Linked DNA regions of Oreochromis niloticus. The protein of the gene in region 1 binds, or shares a complex with, the protein of each later gene. Links are inferred from orthologs where the notes say so. Each region holds a gene or a part of one and is shown on either strand. Other genes may lie near its edges.

Evidence for each region.
Region 2: the proteins of dld (region 1) and dbt are in contact, whole or in part, in a crystal structure (PDB 3RNM), measured with the Homo sapiens proteins. The link is inferred for Oreochromis niloticus from reciprocal best matches to the Homo sapiens genes DLD and DBT. Residues at the interface, in NP_000099.2 of Homo sapiens: Ser446, Thr447, Asp448, Arg449, Glu472, Tyr473, Gly474, Ser476, Glu478, Asp479, Arg482; in NP_001909.4 of Homo sapiens: Thr174, Pro175, Ala176, Lys196, Arg199, Leu201, Lys202, Glu203, Leu206.

The regions. Positions count from the first base shown.
Region 1 is NC_031972.2:3,411,544-3,420,938, reverse strand, and holds the start of dld (dihydrolipoyl dehydrogenase, mitochondrial), read right to left. Parts: upstream 3,592-9,395; 5' UTR 3,475-3,591; coding exon 3,436-3,474; intron 2,375-3,435; coding exon 2,299-2,374; intron 1,997-2,298; coding exon 1,917-1,996; intron 1,800-1,916; coding exon 1,731-1,799; intron 1,190-1,730; coding exon 1,120-1,189; intron 549-1,119; coding exon 448-548; intron 353-447; coding exon 209-352; intron 1-208. UniProt on the Homo sapiens protein: Lipoamide dehydrogenase is a component of the glycine cleavage system as well as an E3 component of three alpha-ketoacid dehydrogenase complexes (pyruvate-, alpha-ketoglutarate-, and branched-chain amino acid-dehydrogenase complex).
Region 2 is NC_031986.2:35,936,362-35,944,830, reverse strand, and holds the start of dbt (lipoamide acyltransferase component of branched-chain alpha-keto acid dehydrogenase complex, mitochondrial), read right to left. Parts: upstream 3,887-8,469; 5' UTR 3,796-3,886; coding exon 3,748-3,795; intron 2,746-3,747; coding exon 2,616-2,745; intron 2,400-2,615; coding exon 2,324-2,399; intron 1,679-2,323; coding exon 1,497-1,678; intron 1,421-1,496; coding exon 1,293-1,420; intron 1,209-1,292; coding exon 956-1,208; intron 861-955; coding exon 694-860; intron 610-693; coding exon 532-609; intron 447-531; coding exon 255-446; intron 164-254; coding exon 92-163; intron 1-91. Other genes in the region: tubgcp5 (gamma-tubulin complex component 5), read right to left, coding at 5,565-5,611, 6,190-6,290, 6,463-6,545, 6,920-7,045, 7,803-7,954, 8,034-8,154, 8,239-8,323, 8,400-8,469. UniProt on the Homo sapiens protein: The branched-chain alpha-keto dehydrogenase complex catalyzes the overall conversion of alpha-keto acids to acyl-CoA and CO(2).

The DNA.
Region 1 (9,395 bases):
TGAGTTTTTATGGAGGGATGAAAGGAGGGGGTGACATGTGTGAGACATGAGGCTCTTGAGACGAGGACGCCTTTTGTTAGACATCTGCAGCACTGACTCCTCTCTTCATGTACCTTCCTCGCCTCCTCCACCTCCTTTGGTGAATACGACAAGCAAAAAACCTGCAACTAGTGAAATGGAAGTATGAACAGGTCACAAATTCTCATACCTGGATGCCTGGAAAGGGCGTGACCTCTGAGCCTGTGGCGATGAGGATGTTCTTGGTGTTGATGACCTGCTCGGTACCATCAGCTGTTGTGGCGGTCACTTGGTTCTTCCCAGTTAACCTTCCAAAACCATTAACGTGGGTAACCTGTGAGGAGTGATGCCACACCACAGACACTGTTAAAAGTGGTTCAGATGTAACACCTGTGTAAACAAGCACTAAGGCAGAGAGGGAAGACTGACTTTGTTCTGCTTGAATAAATGTGCGATTCCTCCGGTCAGCGCTTTGACAGCCCCGCTCTTCTGAGCCATCATCTTCTCCAGGTTCAACGAGATGCCTGAAACTGAGAGACAAAGACTTTATTGTCAATGCGGTCACAATGTCAAACTAAGAAATCGATGGAAAAACAAGTTACATTCAATTAAAGTGTATTGTCGAAAACACATGTTCTGTGCCATCAGCATCCAATACTAAGGAATACAGACACAAGTGTTATAATAACGTATATGCTTATATTAAATATGGCTAATGCTGCAAATAATGACCTTCAGTGTAATCTTGGCTAAAAAAAATCTACTTGAAAGGTTAAGACAATGGATTTCTCTACTATAGTCATTTCAGGCACACAGAGCATGTACTGCTGGTCAAACCTTTTTTTATGAGGGGCATCCAATCATAAGAGGGTTGGCTTAAAGCGAGGAGAGCTAACACAGCTTGTTTCTGACAGGATTAACTGAGGGGCAGCACAAAAACCTCTATGACATAAAGAAGGATTATTTTGAACTTTGAATCATGCAAAGCTCTACTAGAGCTCAAAATTATAACATGTAGCTGGAAATGAGCAGAATAAGCCCCCTTTAAGGATCAGTAAGCTACACAAAATGTTCCCTTTAAAGCCTGATGGTGATTCTTACTTTCGATGCCTCTGCTTTCAAAGTCCTTCCCATGAGCCAAGTGGTACAAGTAGGAGTTGTTCAGCAGAGCCTGCAGAAACAAAACAGCAGCTTATTCAGCTGGAGGAATGACTTTATACACGTTTACGTCATTTTACGGATTCAATATAGTTTAATCAATCTTACGTTCAGTGCTTATCACCAAACTGAAAAGTTCTTTTTAGGTGAAGATTGTTCTGCTTTCCTCTCTCTGTGAAATTTAGTCGTTATTATGAAGTTGAAAATGTTTTTCCCACTCTGTTTGGCTAAACCCAGAAGTATTGGCTTATTTTTGAATTCATCAAGACAATAAAAAGATGCTACCGGTATGTGCTGCTGTTCTTTCTGGCAAAATTTTTGTCTGTACTACTCAAATGTGTTCCATGGAAGCATTTACCCTTTATAATATATCTATGGATAGACAACCGTCACTGGATTACTTTTATACTAAAGGTGTACAAGTTCTGAAAGAAAAACCAAACCCAAGATAAAAACATCCTTGGTATCTCTCCTTCCTCTGTAAAACGATCATACTGATCAAACCTCTTACAAACAAACCTGTGAATTTGTGGAGATTAAAAGCAGTTTGTTACCTTCGAGGGGATGCAGCCGACATTGAGACAAGTCCCGCCGAGTGTGGGATTTTTCTCGACACACACTGTCTGTCAAAGAATAACAAATTTAGAGACAGGGGATTCATTATTCACCAAAAACTTCCACTTGTGACCATCTGTGGGATCTGTTTAGACAGCAGGATATCTGTTGGGCAGGTGGGTTACCTTGAAGCCGAGCTGTGCAGCTTTGATTGCAGCGACATAGCCTCCTGGACCGGAGCCCACCACTGTGACGTCTGCATCAACTGCAGAGAGGCAACACAGCAGCTTTTAGCATGACTTTACGCCACCAGAGCAAAACTACATGATTAAAGTCTGGTGTATGTAAATGAACATTTTAATGCAAGCTCTCTACCACCCCTCTTTACATAGTCCATGAAGTCCTATCCCCACCCAAATCCAGCACCTGAGACTCTCTGCAAGTCTGAATTATGAGACTGCTTTGATACAAACATCAGAGATCAAACTGCACAAACATGTGGCTACAGTTCAGTAAACACTGTGCCATAAATAAAGTCCTATGATAAGATTTACAGCACAATCGTACTTGCTGCTTTGTCAGCGTAGGTCCGAACAGACAGCGCTGCAGCTCCGTGCACTTTGCAGGGCAGGTGGTGGCTCCGCTGTGAAGCAAACAAAATGCACAGTTAGAAAATACACATGCACAATACAACTAGGCAATGCAACACAAAAACAATGTTATAGTGCATCACAAGCCAACTTTGCAAACTAAAAGTATCTGTCTTCAGTGGCTTCTCTCACTTCAGTAATCTGCTGCTTAAAAATTTCTATTTACGTCACTACTATTTCCTTTTAAAGCTGCATACTCAGATACTGAAGCCTAGTGAGTCACGAAGGAGCAAACTCAACTACTAAACTAAAATTTAAATTTTAATATTTAGACTCATGCACTTGTTTTCATGGAATTGTACCACATTCAGCTGGTTTGCTGTTGCAGTGCCAGCTTTCAGCAAGGACACCCTCAGCCTGTCCACTAGCAACTCTGAAACTTTCCCCTTTAGCAGACTACCAAGTTAGCAAATAACTACTATTTAAGTGTTATAGAGTCGCAAAGCTTCTAAAAGCCCCGAAACAATTCGGAATAATCGGGATGCTCGCCCTGAAGCTGTGAGACAACAGCTGAGCTTACGACATAAATTAAGAGTTAGGCAACCGCTGCTAAACAGCTAAGCGAGCTAACACGACACCAGAGTGGGAAATGTCAACTGCCAAGTCATAGAACCTAGATGCTTTTCTTCTAGCTTTGTGTGATTTAAGCCCTTTTAATATTAGCAGAATACAAATATCACGATTCTTTTCATTGCAGGTTTTACTTCAAAATACTGCAGCAATATTTAACCAGAAAAGTCGTGATTTAGTTTAAATGTGGGGAAGGTTGTTAGTCTAACTCATGCCGAATTAAAAGGAAAAAGGTATATGAATAGGTAACACATCAACTGAAAATCAAGCAACGTGTTTAGACATCGATAACCACAACAACTCCAAATTGCATGTTTTTTCCAGTACAGTCTGGTTCGCCTTCTGCTGTTAGCCGAGTAGCTAGCCAGGTGTGGGCCGCAGGTCTAAAATTTCCCCTATCCTCTAGATCTGCAGCACGCAGGACAGTTTACGACACATCCGGGTTTCGCATACTGGTTATAGCGAAAATAATATGAATGCTTACCGTGGCCAGGGAGCGGTATAACTGTGTCCAGCTCTGCATTTTGTCGGTGTACCCTCACTGGATCCGTAACCTACAGCAGGCCGAGCAGCCAAGGACTCCTATCATTGCGCAAGCGCAGTATGGGTCCAAACAGAAAACTCCTCCGGGTCGCATCTATTACACGTCAAAGTTTGCGAAGGGTAAACAAATGTTATTTTTTAAAACAAAATCATTTTAAAACAAATTTTACAGATATATATATATATATATATATATATATATATAAGTTTGAATATTGAAAGTTTGCTACCGTGAGTAAGTTGGTCTTAGTAAAGTAAAAGTAAATAAAATTTATTTATATAGCACATTTCACAGATAAAAATCACAAAGTGCTTCACAATAAAATCAGACATACAAATAAGAAAATCTACGTCACGGACATTAAATTGGTGAAGGTTTTGAAGAAATGAATAAATAAAGATAATAGAAACAAGAGAAGCCTATATTTATAGAGCTCATCCTGGAAAAGCAAAATGTATTTGGTTCAACAGATCCTAATTTTGATTGCAAAAGCTGCCAGACAGGACAGGATTTAGGAGTGGGGAGAACTTTTGTTTGATTTACAGCCACTCAGTTCATGCCTTATCTAAAAGTCATTTCTAAAAGGAAATGACAAAATCGAAGCCTTTGCGAATTTTAATCTGGTCTGCAAATTGCCATATGTTAACTGTAAATTTTGCACAATCCCCCATGCTCACAAAAAACTAGGGGAAAATGTCCACTGCAGCTGTAACAAGCAGCCCAACAAAGAATGTAACATCACAGAAAGATGATGCTAAAGGCACACAATCGGAAAATTAAGTGTGAATTCGTTTAACATGAGCATTTCTGCATCGTTGTTTTAATATCTGAATCAACACATCAGCAGAAATGTGGCGTCACAGAGAAGAAACAGAGGTTTTCAACTTTTGCACAAGTTGCTTCTATGAGACAAATAAAGTGTCAGAGATGTAAAGGCAGGGGCACATTTATCAGTGTGGGATAAACTCCACTAGGTGGAGACATTTAGCTCTTTAAACCACCTGCTGAAATCATTGTAGAAGATGTGAGATGATTGAGTTAAATTAACACACAAAACACTTAAAAAATCACTTTATTGAAGCTTAGATTTATAATATATAATATTTTAAAAAAGCAACCCAGATATACACATGCAAGTCTTAACTAAGTGGATTAACCTTTCCCTCCTCAACTACCCCACATGTATTATATTTATAGGTTATATTTTACGGTGTATAAATTGTATCTTTGTCAGTGAAACTGCCTCCAAAATGAAAGTTTTCTATTTTAGATTGTATTAAAACATTTTCATAGGTTCTCAACAGTGTAAATCACAAAATGTCATCATCAAAAATGTTCATCTTAATACAAACCTGTGGCAGTTGTTGGGAGGTTCACGGGTGTAAAATAAAACAATTCAAATAGCAAAAACTCTTTTTTCCCCTTATTTATGTAGATTTATTTTAGAACACCTTTTAGGACACTTATCTATGATATCAAACATTTACCGGTGTGGATTTGAACTCCATTATTTTGGTAGGAACTGGAGAACAGGTAGAGTTTCTAGGTGAAAGAGCAGCCAATTAATGAGTGAATAAGAGCTACACCATGAATGTCATAAAAAATGATCAGGCCTTCATCATAATCTATTAACACTCCCACTTTCTCAGTTCTTAAATTCACAGATGGATCAACTGATCACCATGGCCCCGAGCAAACAGTCCAGTAACCATTTTCAGGGCTCAGTTTGGTGCTTTCTCTCTTCAGGTTGCTCACATATCTGGCCACTCCTACTGTCCATGTACGATGGGTTTTAACATTAACCTCAAAGTAAAATCTTTGAGAAGAGAAACCCTGGTTTGACAAAACACATATACAATTACCATTCGCAGACTGGGGAGCTTTGGGTTGAACTGAATCAGGGACAAAATCAGGGTTAAATTTTAACTTAACTGTGTAACCCCCTCTTCAGCTCAGCCTCAGTCACTCTACTTAACTCACTTCTGAGATTCCTCTCCACCTGATTTATAATTCTCCCCACCATCCAAACTGATGTTGGTCCAGTCTTTGGTGGGGACAGCAGCTTTCACGGAAGATAAACTCTGGATGAGGTGAAGGATGTCTTCAGGGTGGGTGAGCTGCTCCACCTCAGAGCTTTTCTGCATAAGTTCAGAAATCTCCTGCTTTATCTCCTTCATGTGGCCTTCAGCCTGTTTCTCTGCTGTTCTCTGCTGGTCTTCAATTGTCTTGATCGGCTCTTTCATGCTGCTCTTTGCAAACTCTATTAAAGATGTGAAGATCTGAACACCTTCTGCTGTCACTCTGTCTGCCTCTTTCTTACTGAGCAGCACAGAGTGTTTCATTTCCCCAATTTTAATCTTTCTTTTCTGGATCATCTCCTGAATTTCATCCTCTGTTTTCTCCTCCGCTGCTGCTGGCTTCCTGCTGAGCTGACAGCTTGAACTGAGCAGCCATCTCAGAGATGAAAGTATTGACATGGAGCTCGGGTCTTGTGTAGTACTTCCTTTTACAGACTGGACACTGACACAGAGGACTGCTGTTCCAGTACTGAGTGATGCAGTTCTTGCAGAAGTTGTGTCCACATGGTGTACTGACTGGATCTGTGAACACTTCCAGACAGATGCAGCACAGAAACTGGTCTTCAGACAGCAGACAGCTGGCAGCAGCCATGACCACACTGGGAGGATAAATGGACATAAAGCAAAAACTGTAACTGCATTATCGTACAATAATTCAGCTCACAAAAGTCAGACAATGTGTGGAGGCTATAATTTATTTTATTTCTTTATGTTTTCTTCCTCCTATTAACCTCTAATTTTGGACCAGTTCTCTGAAAACTCCTTTATTAAAATTAAACTGATGAATCCAAAACACGCTACTAACTGAAAGAAACTCTGAAAATTGACACTGATTGTGGCTAATCTTTTAAATAACACAGTTACTCAGGTGAAATTATTTTTTAAAAAACATTTGCTTTGGTTTTCTGGGGAGGATTCAGCTGTATGGAAATAAAACAATTCAGCCAAATATTTAATTTTATATTAAATCAGTAGACTGCATATTTGAAATCCCAATTAGTTAACCATACTAAGAATAAGCATGCAAACTGATTGCCAAATTCCAAAATCCAACAAATTCCATTTGGCTTAGACACAATAAAGATTTTCTCTGATGCTTCTGGCCTACGCCTGAACCTGGACAAATGCGAACTCATGAGTATCCATAATTGTTCTCACTCCTCCTTGTATGATATACCTGTCAAAAATGAAATCAAATATCTTGGAATTTGGATAACTAAATGCATGGCTGACAGTGAAGAAAAGAATATTCAGAATACAATTGACAAATGCAAAAACACTTTAAACAATTGGCTACAGAGAGATTTAATGTTGTTCGGCAGGATAATGTTAACCAAGGTTGAATCTTTGTCCAGATTAATCTGTCCAGCTTGTTCCCTAGCCATCCCACCAAGGATATTAAAAGAAATCAATAAGATTAATTTTAATCTCATATGGGAAAAAACTTCACTATATCAGAAGCAGGGACTTTATAAAAGACTATGAAGAGGGGGGTTTAAAAGCAAGTGATTTTGAAATAATGAAGGGAATGTTAAAGCTTAATTGGCTAAACAATGATGATGAGATCTGGTTCTTGATACCTCTTATTATATCTCTTATTTTCAACAAAGTCGGGGATATCAAATTCTCATAAAACTCTCCAAAGTTCATCAACAAGTTTTGTTAAACTGGAGATTAATGTTCAAACATAACTTTAGTCCCCACAAAGTTCCACTGTGGAATAATAGGGTGATATTGAATCGGGGGAAATCTATGTTTGTGGAAGAATGAATGACAAAACAAATTTGGTCTGTCACACATATAATGGATGAAAACAGAAATATACTTGAATTAAACAGGTTTAATGAGAAACATAGCATGAGTGGTTCAATTGAGCTCTACAAAAACGTTTCACAGAATATCCCGATAGTTTTTATCAACGCAAAATATACCAACTCCAAATTTACGTAAAATTAAATTAGATGGTCCAGACCTTGTTAATGAAAAATGCAATAATCAGTTTTGGAGGAAGTATTTGGTTAACACCTTATATTCAAGTAGGACAAAATGCTCACTCATTCTAAAAGATTATAACAAATGTGAGATTTCTTTGATCAGAACTAAATATTTAAAATTCCCAAACCCCCAAATTTAAAAAAGTTCATTTTAAAACTACAAAAACCATCGACCCCTCTAATGAATTCATGAAAGAAAGATTTAAATTTGTGTCAGACAATTGTTATATTTGTAAAACAACTTTGGAAACAACACAGCACATGTTTTATGGGTGACTTTCCAAAATTTGTGGAAATCTCTCCATGACTTAATATCATCCTGGTCTACAAATGTTGGTTTTTGGTCTTTTCAGAATATTCAAATAGGAGTAATCGTCAAGGACAAAAATACTGAGTTCTTAGTAAACAATCTCATTATAACAACAAAATATTACATTCATAAATGCTGATGTGCCAAATCCCCCCCCTTCATGGCTTGTTCTTAAAAATGAATTTTCCCTGTTGCGTAAATCTCTGAATCTAATAAATAAGCCGCAGGCAATTAAATTGCATAAATTTTTTAGAAGAATGTTTCTCCCTTTGCCCCTTATTTAAGCTATATGTCTTATTTATAAGACCTCACTTTTAATGATTTTCATGCCCCCCTTATCTCCTTTATTTTTGTTCTTTAATCTTTTTCTAATTTATTTACTTATTTAGTTATTTTTACTTTTTTTATATACTTAGTTACAATTATTGTTAGTTTGACTGTGACATACCAACTACAATGCTGCAATAATCCTCTGATTAAGAAAAAAAAGGTGTGATATGTTGTGAAAGATTCAATGATTCACTGTTTGTTTGAGATTGTCATTGTCTTTGCTCTAAATAAAGTTTTTAAAAGTGAAAAAAAAACAATGCTTCCGCGCACAAGACATAAGGACATCGTAACGAAAAACTGCATCAGAGCGCCCCCTTGTGACAATAGTAGGCTTTAGCTTTAGATGACAAAAACATGACATTTTGAAATCTAGAAACCAGGTTGATTATTTCTTCTCAACATCAACCGGGGGTGGAGCTTAGCAAATGTGTCAGACGCCTTTAGAATGGTTTTTGTTCAAATGAATGTTGTCATCGCAACATTAATAGAATGAAACATTTTGAAAAGTGCTTGCAGGATTTACATACACTTTGCTGTGGATTACAGAGGAGAAAAAGAGAGGAGAGGAAAGAAAAGGAAAAAAAGATTATTCCCTAAGGTAAGGACCGCTTGGCAAGTGACATTTGCTAAAGTGGAAATTTTAAGGGGACATGTAGTGTCCACGTCAATGTTAAACTTTTCTAAACACAGTAGAGACTTGTACAGGTTTTTACACAACGGTTACAAAAGACAACTTGCTGAAGTAGTATATATACTAGTATATATACTACTTCAGCAAGTCTTTGCGTGTATTATCTTACTGGATTATTAATAATTTTACTGAAGTAAATAAGTTTGGCTTAGTAGATAGAGGCATTTGTACATGGGTGCTCACATTCTGTAATCCATTTAGTGTGATATGACAAAGCAAGTACTATCTTACAGCCTGTTCTTACACAAACCACGTTTGTTTTCATTTTCCTGCCTACTGCTAGACTCTGAGTAACTGCTAAAATCTAACAAAGAGGAATGAAAATGTTTCTTAGGATATTTTATCTTTTGTTGTTTGGCTACAGAAACTATGCGTCTCTGTGTGTGTGCGTGTGTGTGTGTGTGTGTGTGTGTGTGTTTAAATTTTATTTCATAAAAAAAAAGTGAGATTTGTGCCATAAACCAGGTCGATTATTTTAATTAGAATGTCATTTGTTC
Region 2 (8,469 bases), on another chromosome or scaffold:
ATCTTGTGCTATTCACCCTTTTTCCTCTCATGCTAAACTAAAACAAACCTGACTCTGTATGTGCTGTGTGTTCGGTCTGACCAGGGCTCACCTGGATCTTTCCTAGCGCTCCGATGGCAACCTCGGGTGGGAGGATCACGGGCTTGGCGTAAGTGCCTCCGATCTGGTTCGAACATAGCAAGCAGAGTGAGGTCAATATGGCTTCTCTCAGCACTGTTGTGATATTTTCGTGTCGCTGTTGTTGTCAGACTCACAGATCCGATGTTGGACAGTGTGAAAGTGCCCCCCATCAGGTCGGCAGTCCCCAGCTGACCCGATGCTCCGAGCACCTGGAGGCGGTTCAACTCAAGGGCGATCTCGAACACGCTGAGCAGCTGGACGTTCTTCACATTGGGAACCAGCAGACCCTGACTTGTGTCCATTGCCAGGCCGATGTTGTGGGACGCCTGAATCACAGGAAACACCACCGTCAGCACTAATGACGTCACCGAGCAACCAGGGAAGCGAAGCCGGCTCGGAGCATGCTCTTACCTTGTAGGTGATGTTCTGGCAGCCCTCATCCACCGAGGCGTTGAGGATCGGGAAGTGGTGGAGACTGAGGGAGGCAGCCTGAGCCAATGAGAGAAAAGCATTAACTTCAATATCAAACATGCAATCGATCAGCAGCTCGTGCATGGCGCCTTAACCCCCAACCTTGATGAAGAAGGGCATGTAGCTCAGTCTGACGCCACGACTCTCGGTGAGAGGTTTCAGCTCTGACCTCAGAGCCACCAGGCGACTCAGGTCAACCTCGTCACAGTAACCGAAGTGAGGAATCTTCAGCGCCACAGTCATCGTCTTCACCATCGCTTTCTGGAAACCTGAAGAGCCAATCAGAATGTTTAGAGAGAAAGGAGATGACATGCAAGTCTCGCAGTGAACAGCGCAACACTTAGGCTTGACAGCAATCTCTGACCTTTGAGGGGCTCCGTCACGTCCTTGCCAGTGAAGACAGGTTTAGGAGTAGCGGGTGGAGGTTTCACAGCCACCTTAGTGCTCACAGGCTTGGCAGCAGCAGGAGCAGCAGCAGGGGCCGGGGGCGGAGTCTGGATCTCCTGGAAAGGTGTCGGAGGCAAGATGGCTCCAGTTTGCTTTGCCAGGAAGTTCAGGATGTCCTCCTTCAGGATCCGCCCATCTCTGCCAGTCCCCACCACCTCACTGAGCTTTATCTGAGGACAAAGCGACACCTCAACTGGGAACACAGTGGGACAGACTGGGACAACCCGGTGCGGACAAATAGGAATCACACTTACATTGTTCTCCATGGCGAGGCGTCTGACTGCAGGCGTGGCCTGCGTCTTGTGACCTTTGATCTCCTGGTGGGTGTGTTCTTCTCGAGCCATGGCGGGCGTCTCCACCACGTCCTCCTCCTGGATCACCTCTGAAGGATAACAGCAGTGAGACTTTCAGCCGTGAACTTGGACGGGTGGACGAGTGAAGACCTGCTGATGCCTCACCTGAGCCAGACTCCGTCTCGATATCCACCAGCGGTTTTCCCACAAAGGCCGTGGCATCTGCATCGTAGTAGAGCTTTTTGATGACCCCATCGTAGCGGCTGGTAATGGTGACCGATGCCTTGTCGCTCTGAACCTCACAGATGCTGTCAAACTGAGAAACTTTGTCTCCTTCCTTCACGTACCTGCCAGAGGAATCCAGATTTATTTATGCAGTGGCAAATCACAAGAACAGAATACGCACAAGGACATATCCTAGTCAAAAATGACTCCAAGGTTCCTCAAAGTGTTATTGGAGGCCATATTTCTAAGATTTTCTGTCCCAAGTACAATAACCTCAGTTTTATCTGAATTTAGAAAATTAGAGGTCATCCAGGGCTTTAGGACTTCCTGACATTCCTGCAGTTTAACTAATTGGTGTGTGTTATCTGGCCTGATGGATAGATAAACTTGGGTGTCCTCTGCATAGCAGTGAAAATGGATGCTATGCCTTCTGATGATACTACCTAAGGGAAGCATGTATAATGTAAACAGAACTGGTCCTAGCACTGAACCCTGTTGAACTCCATATTTAACTTTAGTGTGTGAAGAGGACTCTCCATTTACATGAACAAACTGGAGTGTAACGAGTTAACAGGCCATCCTTCATTACAGGTTACAGGTGTTACATCCTAATCGTTTCATATGTTCACCTGTTTGTTCTTTTACAAACTCTGGGGTTTCAGGTTTGCTTCATTTTAAAAACAAAATAATACCAAAATTTTGTCATGACAATAAAAAACGGAGCTGTTGGACTCTTTTTTTTCTTTTTTTTTGTCTTGGTCACGTACCACTCCTTGACGGTCACCTCCATGATTCCCTCACCGATGTCAGACAGTTTGAACTGCACGATAGGTCCTTGATTCACTGCCGGACAAAACAAAACAGTGACACGATCACAGAGAAACAGAACAATCTGCTGATGGAGGTCAGCGTACACCACCATGAGTGATCTGCCTCAATTCTCCCAGAGTCCATCAAACAGCTGAAAACCCAGAACAGTTCACCATGATACAGATCTCCATGGCAATAGCAGAGAGATCAGAGGAGGCCAGGATTCAGGTGCTGCCGGTCTGGACTTACCCACAGCGACATGCAGCCCTCTGCAGCTGAACACCTGGAGCTTCCTGTCACACCTGAAGGTCATTGGCTGCAGAGTCCTGTCACATCTGAAGCTCTGCAGCCGGAAACATCTGCGGCTCTGCTGACTCAGCTGACGGGAAAAGAGCAGATAACAGAGGTCACCTGGACCAGCCAACACACAGGTGCTTCTAAGCCACGCCCCCTGATATTCAGGGCCTGATGGTTCTTCCTTCAGGTCCTGAATGTCAGACCAGGACCAGCACTCCGAAACTCAAACATGAAGACTAGCTCACAACTCCTTCAGCTTCTAATAAAGATGCATACGGACATTCTTTAAACAAGGTGGTGATGTAACCCTAACAGAGAAGAAATGCCAGCCAATAAAAACATCACACACGCCTCTGACACTGTGGCACCAGATCTATGTTTCCTCATCTGCATGTAAACGAGGAAACCGAGTGCATTTACACTGATTTATGCCAAGTCACTGAAGATTACGCTAAGCCTGACTTTGACACTTTCAGGAAGTGGGGGATGATGGGAAATGGCCTTCAGGTTGTCACTCGCTGACAGAAACTCTGCTCAGGTGTTTTTCTTATTGCAGGTTTCCTCTGAATATCTCGAAGCTGTCTCACTCCCATGTCACTTCTCACTAAATAAAACAGAAAGTTCGCTTTAAAATTTATACACATCATTGGAGGACCACCTGTCAATCACGTCGTTTCCGTCGTTTGAAACCACATCTGCTCCTGAGGTCTGGAACAAACACCTGTCCTGGCGGCAGCAGGTGAAGCAAGTTTCACCTGCAGGACAAGCTCTGAATATTACTGAGCTCAGATCTGGGTCAGAACCAGAACCCGCACACTGCCGGTTCTGGTTCTGACTCAGACCCTGACCCGGAAACAGCTGCTGACCATCAGGAAGCACTCGCAGCTGTTAGCTGTTAGCCAAAGCATGCTAACTCAGAGGCTGTTTCATTCCATTAGGGTTAGCATCAGCTAGCCCATTGGCTAGCTATGCTAACGCACTGAGCTTGGTGACGTTGCGGAGACTCTCCGTTAGCATTAGCCGCAGGTTAGCATTAAGCGCTTTCAGAGCCTGTGACGAGAACACGAAGCCTGTATTTGCTCACCAGTAGCCGCCTGAACGCGCCGAGAGAGCCTCTGGTCACCGCCGCCATCTCTACGCTCCGCTGCACGCCCCTCTCTGCAGCCAATCAGCGCGCAGCGCCGGCCTCTCTTCTTCTGCTGCTTCCCGCAGGGCTCGCAGACGTCACACAGGTGTGATGGCGCCACGATCAGGAGAGCTAATGAACAACAAACTGATTCATTAAACTTTTCCTGGTTTTTACAGCCTTAGACGTTCCACGGTTTTTATCCATTATTAATAATAAAAATGATTTGTTGTTTATTTAAAGACAGGTCAGCATCATGACATCAGCAAGCTGCCGTTTGTGCACCTGTCCAGATAAGGTAAGATAAGATAAGACTTTATTGATCCCATGGCGGGGAAATTTGTGCGTTACCACAGCTCAGGTACAGATAGTAGAAGAATACAAAGAGTATACCAGAATATAAAGTCAACAAATACAAAATAAATAAGATAATACAATATATACAATGGTAGCTGAGGTTCTATGTACACACATACCCAGAATATGTTATTGATACAAGTTGTGGAAATATGCAAGAAATACATTAAAAACTATTCTACTACTACTACTATTACTATGTGAGTAAAAGATATCTATAAGTATCTATAAGTATAGACATGTACATACACACACACGTACAAATACACATACACCATAATCACTAATGCAGAGTGTCATCACATTAATCAGATTTCATCTCTACAGGGTCATCAGTTTCTACAGTTAGAACCATAAGAATGTGCAGTTGAGCAGTTAGCTGCACACAAGTCCTTACAGCTACAAACAGGGGACTGTAGAATCAAACCTGAAGGGCTCAGCCCTCAGTCATAGTGTCATGCATACGCTGCCCTGCAATTAACATTACTGGAATATGCTGCTTACAAAAATATTCACCTCTTTTTTCAGCTCAATTACATTTTCATGGAGGTTAGAAAAAGGAGGAAGTTTTTGAATGCACCTCACTCTCCTTAAAAAATAAAGGTGGCTTGTGGCTGAGCAGTAGCATCATGGTTTTGTGTTGCTGTTGCATTTTCATTTCTTTGTACAGCGCTTTGTGCCTTTATGTCTATAAACTTGAATTACGACACCTGTGTGTGGGTTTTCCTGTTAGTGGTGCAGTAATGCCAGCTGTTTGTGACGTTCGGGGCTGGATTACTGTGAACAACCTCTGTGTGCAGAGCCTCCTTGCTGAAGGCCTCAGTCTCGCTGTGTGCTGTTATTTTGGTCATATGGTGCATTTGATTTGACAAATATTTTACACTACACGCTCTTCCTGAGGCAACCCTCCCCGTTCTTCTGCTCCAACAGCAGCAGCTTCTGAGAACTCCTCAGTTTATACGTGCAGTCAACAATTAATTTATTATCAATGTGTGGCAGAGGTGTGGTCCTTGGCTCAGCTGCAGGGGATGGGTGATGCAGGGAGGTTGGAGGGACAGGTGGACATGATTAAACTAATGGGGTTCCTCCCTTCGTATAGTGAGGGTGGAGACCGAAGTGGGACAGTATGCAGACAGCTGACGATTGTGTGTGTGCCGAACCAGGACGCTGTACATGAGTGCAAAATCAATTAAAAAACCCAGTGTGTCGGGTCATGGTCCTTTACACAACGTAAAGTGAATAACAGAGTCAAATGTCACCATGTATTGTCAAGTCATTTTTATTCTGCCTCGTCACAGACGTTATTAATATTAAAATACAAGCATTCATGTTTGAAATTTGCGGAGAAGCAGCAGGCCGGTCTGAGTCCATCTCAGCAGACAATGACATCATCACAGAGCGTGCTCGTGTCCAGCTCGTCAGCACTGCTCGAATCCCGCCATCAGAGAGAGCGCCAGAGACTCCACTGCACAACAAGAGAGACAGACGTCATCAGCTCCTCTCTGCTCACAGCATACAACAAGACGAGGTTAACTGGACAGCTACGGTGGCCAAGAGGTCCCAAACACATATTTCATTTACTGGAAAGGTTTTTCAATCATTCAGTCCTGTGTGCTGACAGGATGACCAGCACAAACATCCTATTTCTCATTTATTACTTTCATTTCCTGTTAAATTGACCTAGAAGGATCAGACTGCAGGAGACTTGTGGTTCCTGAGTCTGAGATGATGCAGGTGTCAACAACCGAAGGTCGGCTTTTATTGGCCCTTGGAAAACTTCGACCACACACGCCTGAGCCCTCGTAACGACATTTTCAGCCTGAAAATGTCGTGCGGATATCTCGTGCACTTATGAAGTCGATCCCCTCTAAACTGCGGACACACTCTGTTTGGAGGAAACACCGAGCACTGCAGCTGGATCCCGACAGCCTCGAAGCACCAACCGATTTTACATTTAAGCTTTTCCAAGTTGGATGTTCTGCACCTTTGGACCACCGTACACAATCACTGCGTTTGACATCATCACCCAGACGACAGACTCACAGTGAGGGAAGGAGCCCCGGCACACCGCCTTATTGAGGATCGTCACAAGGAACATGTGGCAGTTTTTGAAATCAGACTCCATTTTATCGATGGACTCTATCCTGAAAGAGAAACAACATTTAGCTGCAGAGCAGGTGTGTCGTCTCTGTACCTGGATGCGTGTACACACACACACACACACACACACACACACACACACACACACACACACACACACGCAGCGTGCACCACGAATGTCACATCAACACCACTGAATAGACACATCACTCTTACTTCCAGGCTCCAGCCTGCCATCTGTCCGAGAAGATGAGGACGAGATTCAGAACCTTTATTATCGCCTCCTTCACAAAACTGACCTGAGAAAACACAACATGTAGAAACAGGTGAGTCTGAGCAGGGAGCCAAAGTGAGATTCGGCCTACTGAAGGTTCTGGCCCCGCCCACAGTACAGTGTTTTACAAGTTTTTCTGGAAACATAAAGAATCACTGTCTTATAAGATCCAATTTATTTACTTGCCCGCCATCACACAGTACAGTAAGGTCAGTGTACAAGCAGCGGTGCTGATGGTGCAGCAACATTTCTTTGTGCTAAAGCAGGAAAACTGAGAAACGCCTCAGGCTGGTCATTGCGTTCGTAAAAGAACGAACGCTTTTTCATCATCTCAAACAAACAGCAACCGTCTTTACAGCTGATTGTGTCAGCGGTCAGACCGCCATCATAAATGTTCACCTTCTCCCTTAGCAGGCAACGGTCGTGAATCGTGGCCAGGTATCTGTAATGGATCTTGATGAGCTGGTCCAAGTCCTTGGCTTCCTGCACTTGGTGTTGAAACTCGAGTCCAGTGCTGTGCAGAATCTGCCAAGACACAAAGCAGATGAAGAGCCAGAGTTAGTCAAACTGAGAGTGCAGTGAGGACTCTTTTTATTAAAGGGGGTCGTTTAAAGAAGTGATTTTATTATGTAACCCTAGAAGTAAATATGACAGGAAGAGTTATCAGGCTGCCCGCTCACTGTCACGTGATCAGCGCTCGCTGTGCCAAGCTGCTGATCTTCCCTACCGAGCAGCGTCCTGATGGTGTTCATTATAAAAACGTTTGCTGGCACTACTATGTCGACAGCAGCGCTCGAGGGGTAAATGTGAGTGATGTCCTCCCTTATTTATGCTGCAATAGGTGTATGCTACTGGGGGATTCCAATGATGCACTGGGTGCTTCTTCTTCACTCACTATCTATTAATAGACCTCGCTGAACTGAATCATACTTGTTATTAATCTCTGGCTCTCTTCCACAACGTGTTTTATCCTGTCTTCCTTCTCTCACTCAACCGGTAGTGGCAGATGGCCGCCCCTCCCCGAGCCTGGCTCACCTGGAGGTTTCTTCCTGTTAAAAGGGAATTTTTCCTTCCCACTGTCACCAAAGCACTTGGTCATAGGGGGTCATATGATTGTTGGGTTTTTCTCTGTATATTTGATTGTAGGGTCTACCTTACAATATAAAGCGCCTTGTGGTGACTGCTGTTGTGATTTGGTGCTGTGCAAATAAAAATGAAGTGAATTGAATGTCATGGATGCGACATCCTGTTTGCAGGAGGTCAGTTTGGTGGTTTGCCTCACCCTCGTCATGATGTAGTTGTGAAGGCTGTTGACAAAGTGCATCAGTTTGACCCTGAGCAGACACATCCTGTGGATCTGCTGGTTCACGCGCTCTTTGACCTTGACCTCCTCGGCTGCGGCGCCCTCCAGCTTCTTAGTGACGTCTGTAAAACCTACGAGTAACAACCATTTATCAGAGAAATGACTAAGACGGGCTTATTTTCAGTTTACAGCTTCAGGTGGAGCTTGTACCGCTGAATCGAAGCGTGTCCAGACTGTACTTGGCCCATTTGATCTGCAGCAGGAGGAGGAACACTTGGTTGTAGATCTTCTGACACTCAGAGCTGATCACAATGTCCACGGGCCAGGGAACCTGTGCAGACACGCACCAGGAAACGTCAGGTGGCGGATTCAACAACGCACCGACAGACACCAAAGCACAAACTGCAGTGTTCACCTTGTAGCTCAGCGTGAGGACTTCCAGGTTATTCACAGGCTGTTTTTTCCTGGAAGCGTCGATGGGTTCCAGAAACACCGACAGCCTGGGAAACAGAGATGCCTGATCAAACTGATTCTAACAGAAATAAGGAACTGTGTCACAGCAAATGTGCACTCTACCTGCTGCTGTCCTCCGGGTAGCGCTGTCCGACCGCCTCCTGCAGCTGCACGTTCAGAAACGACGGCTGCT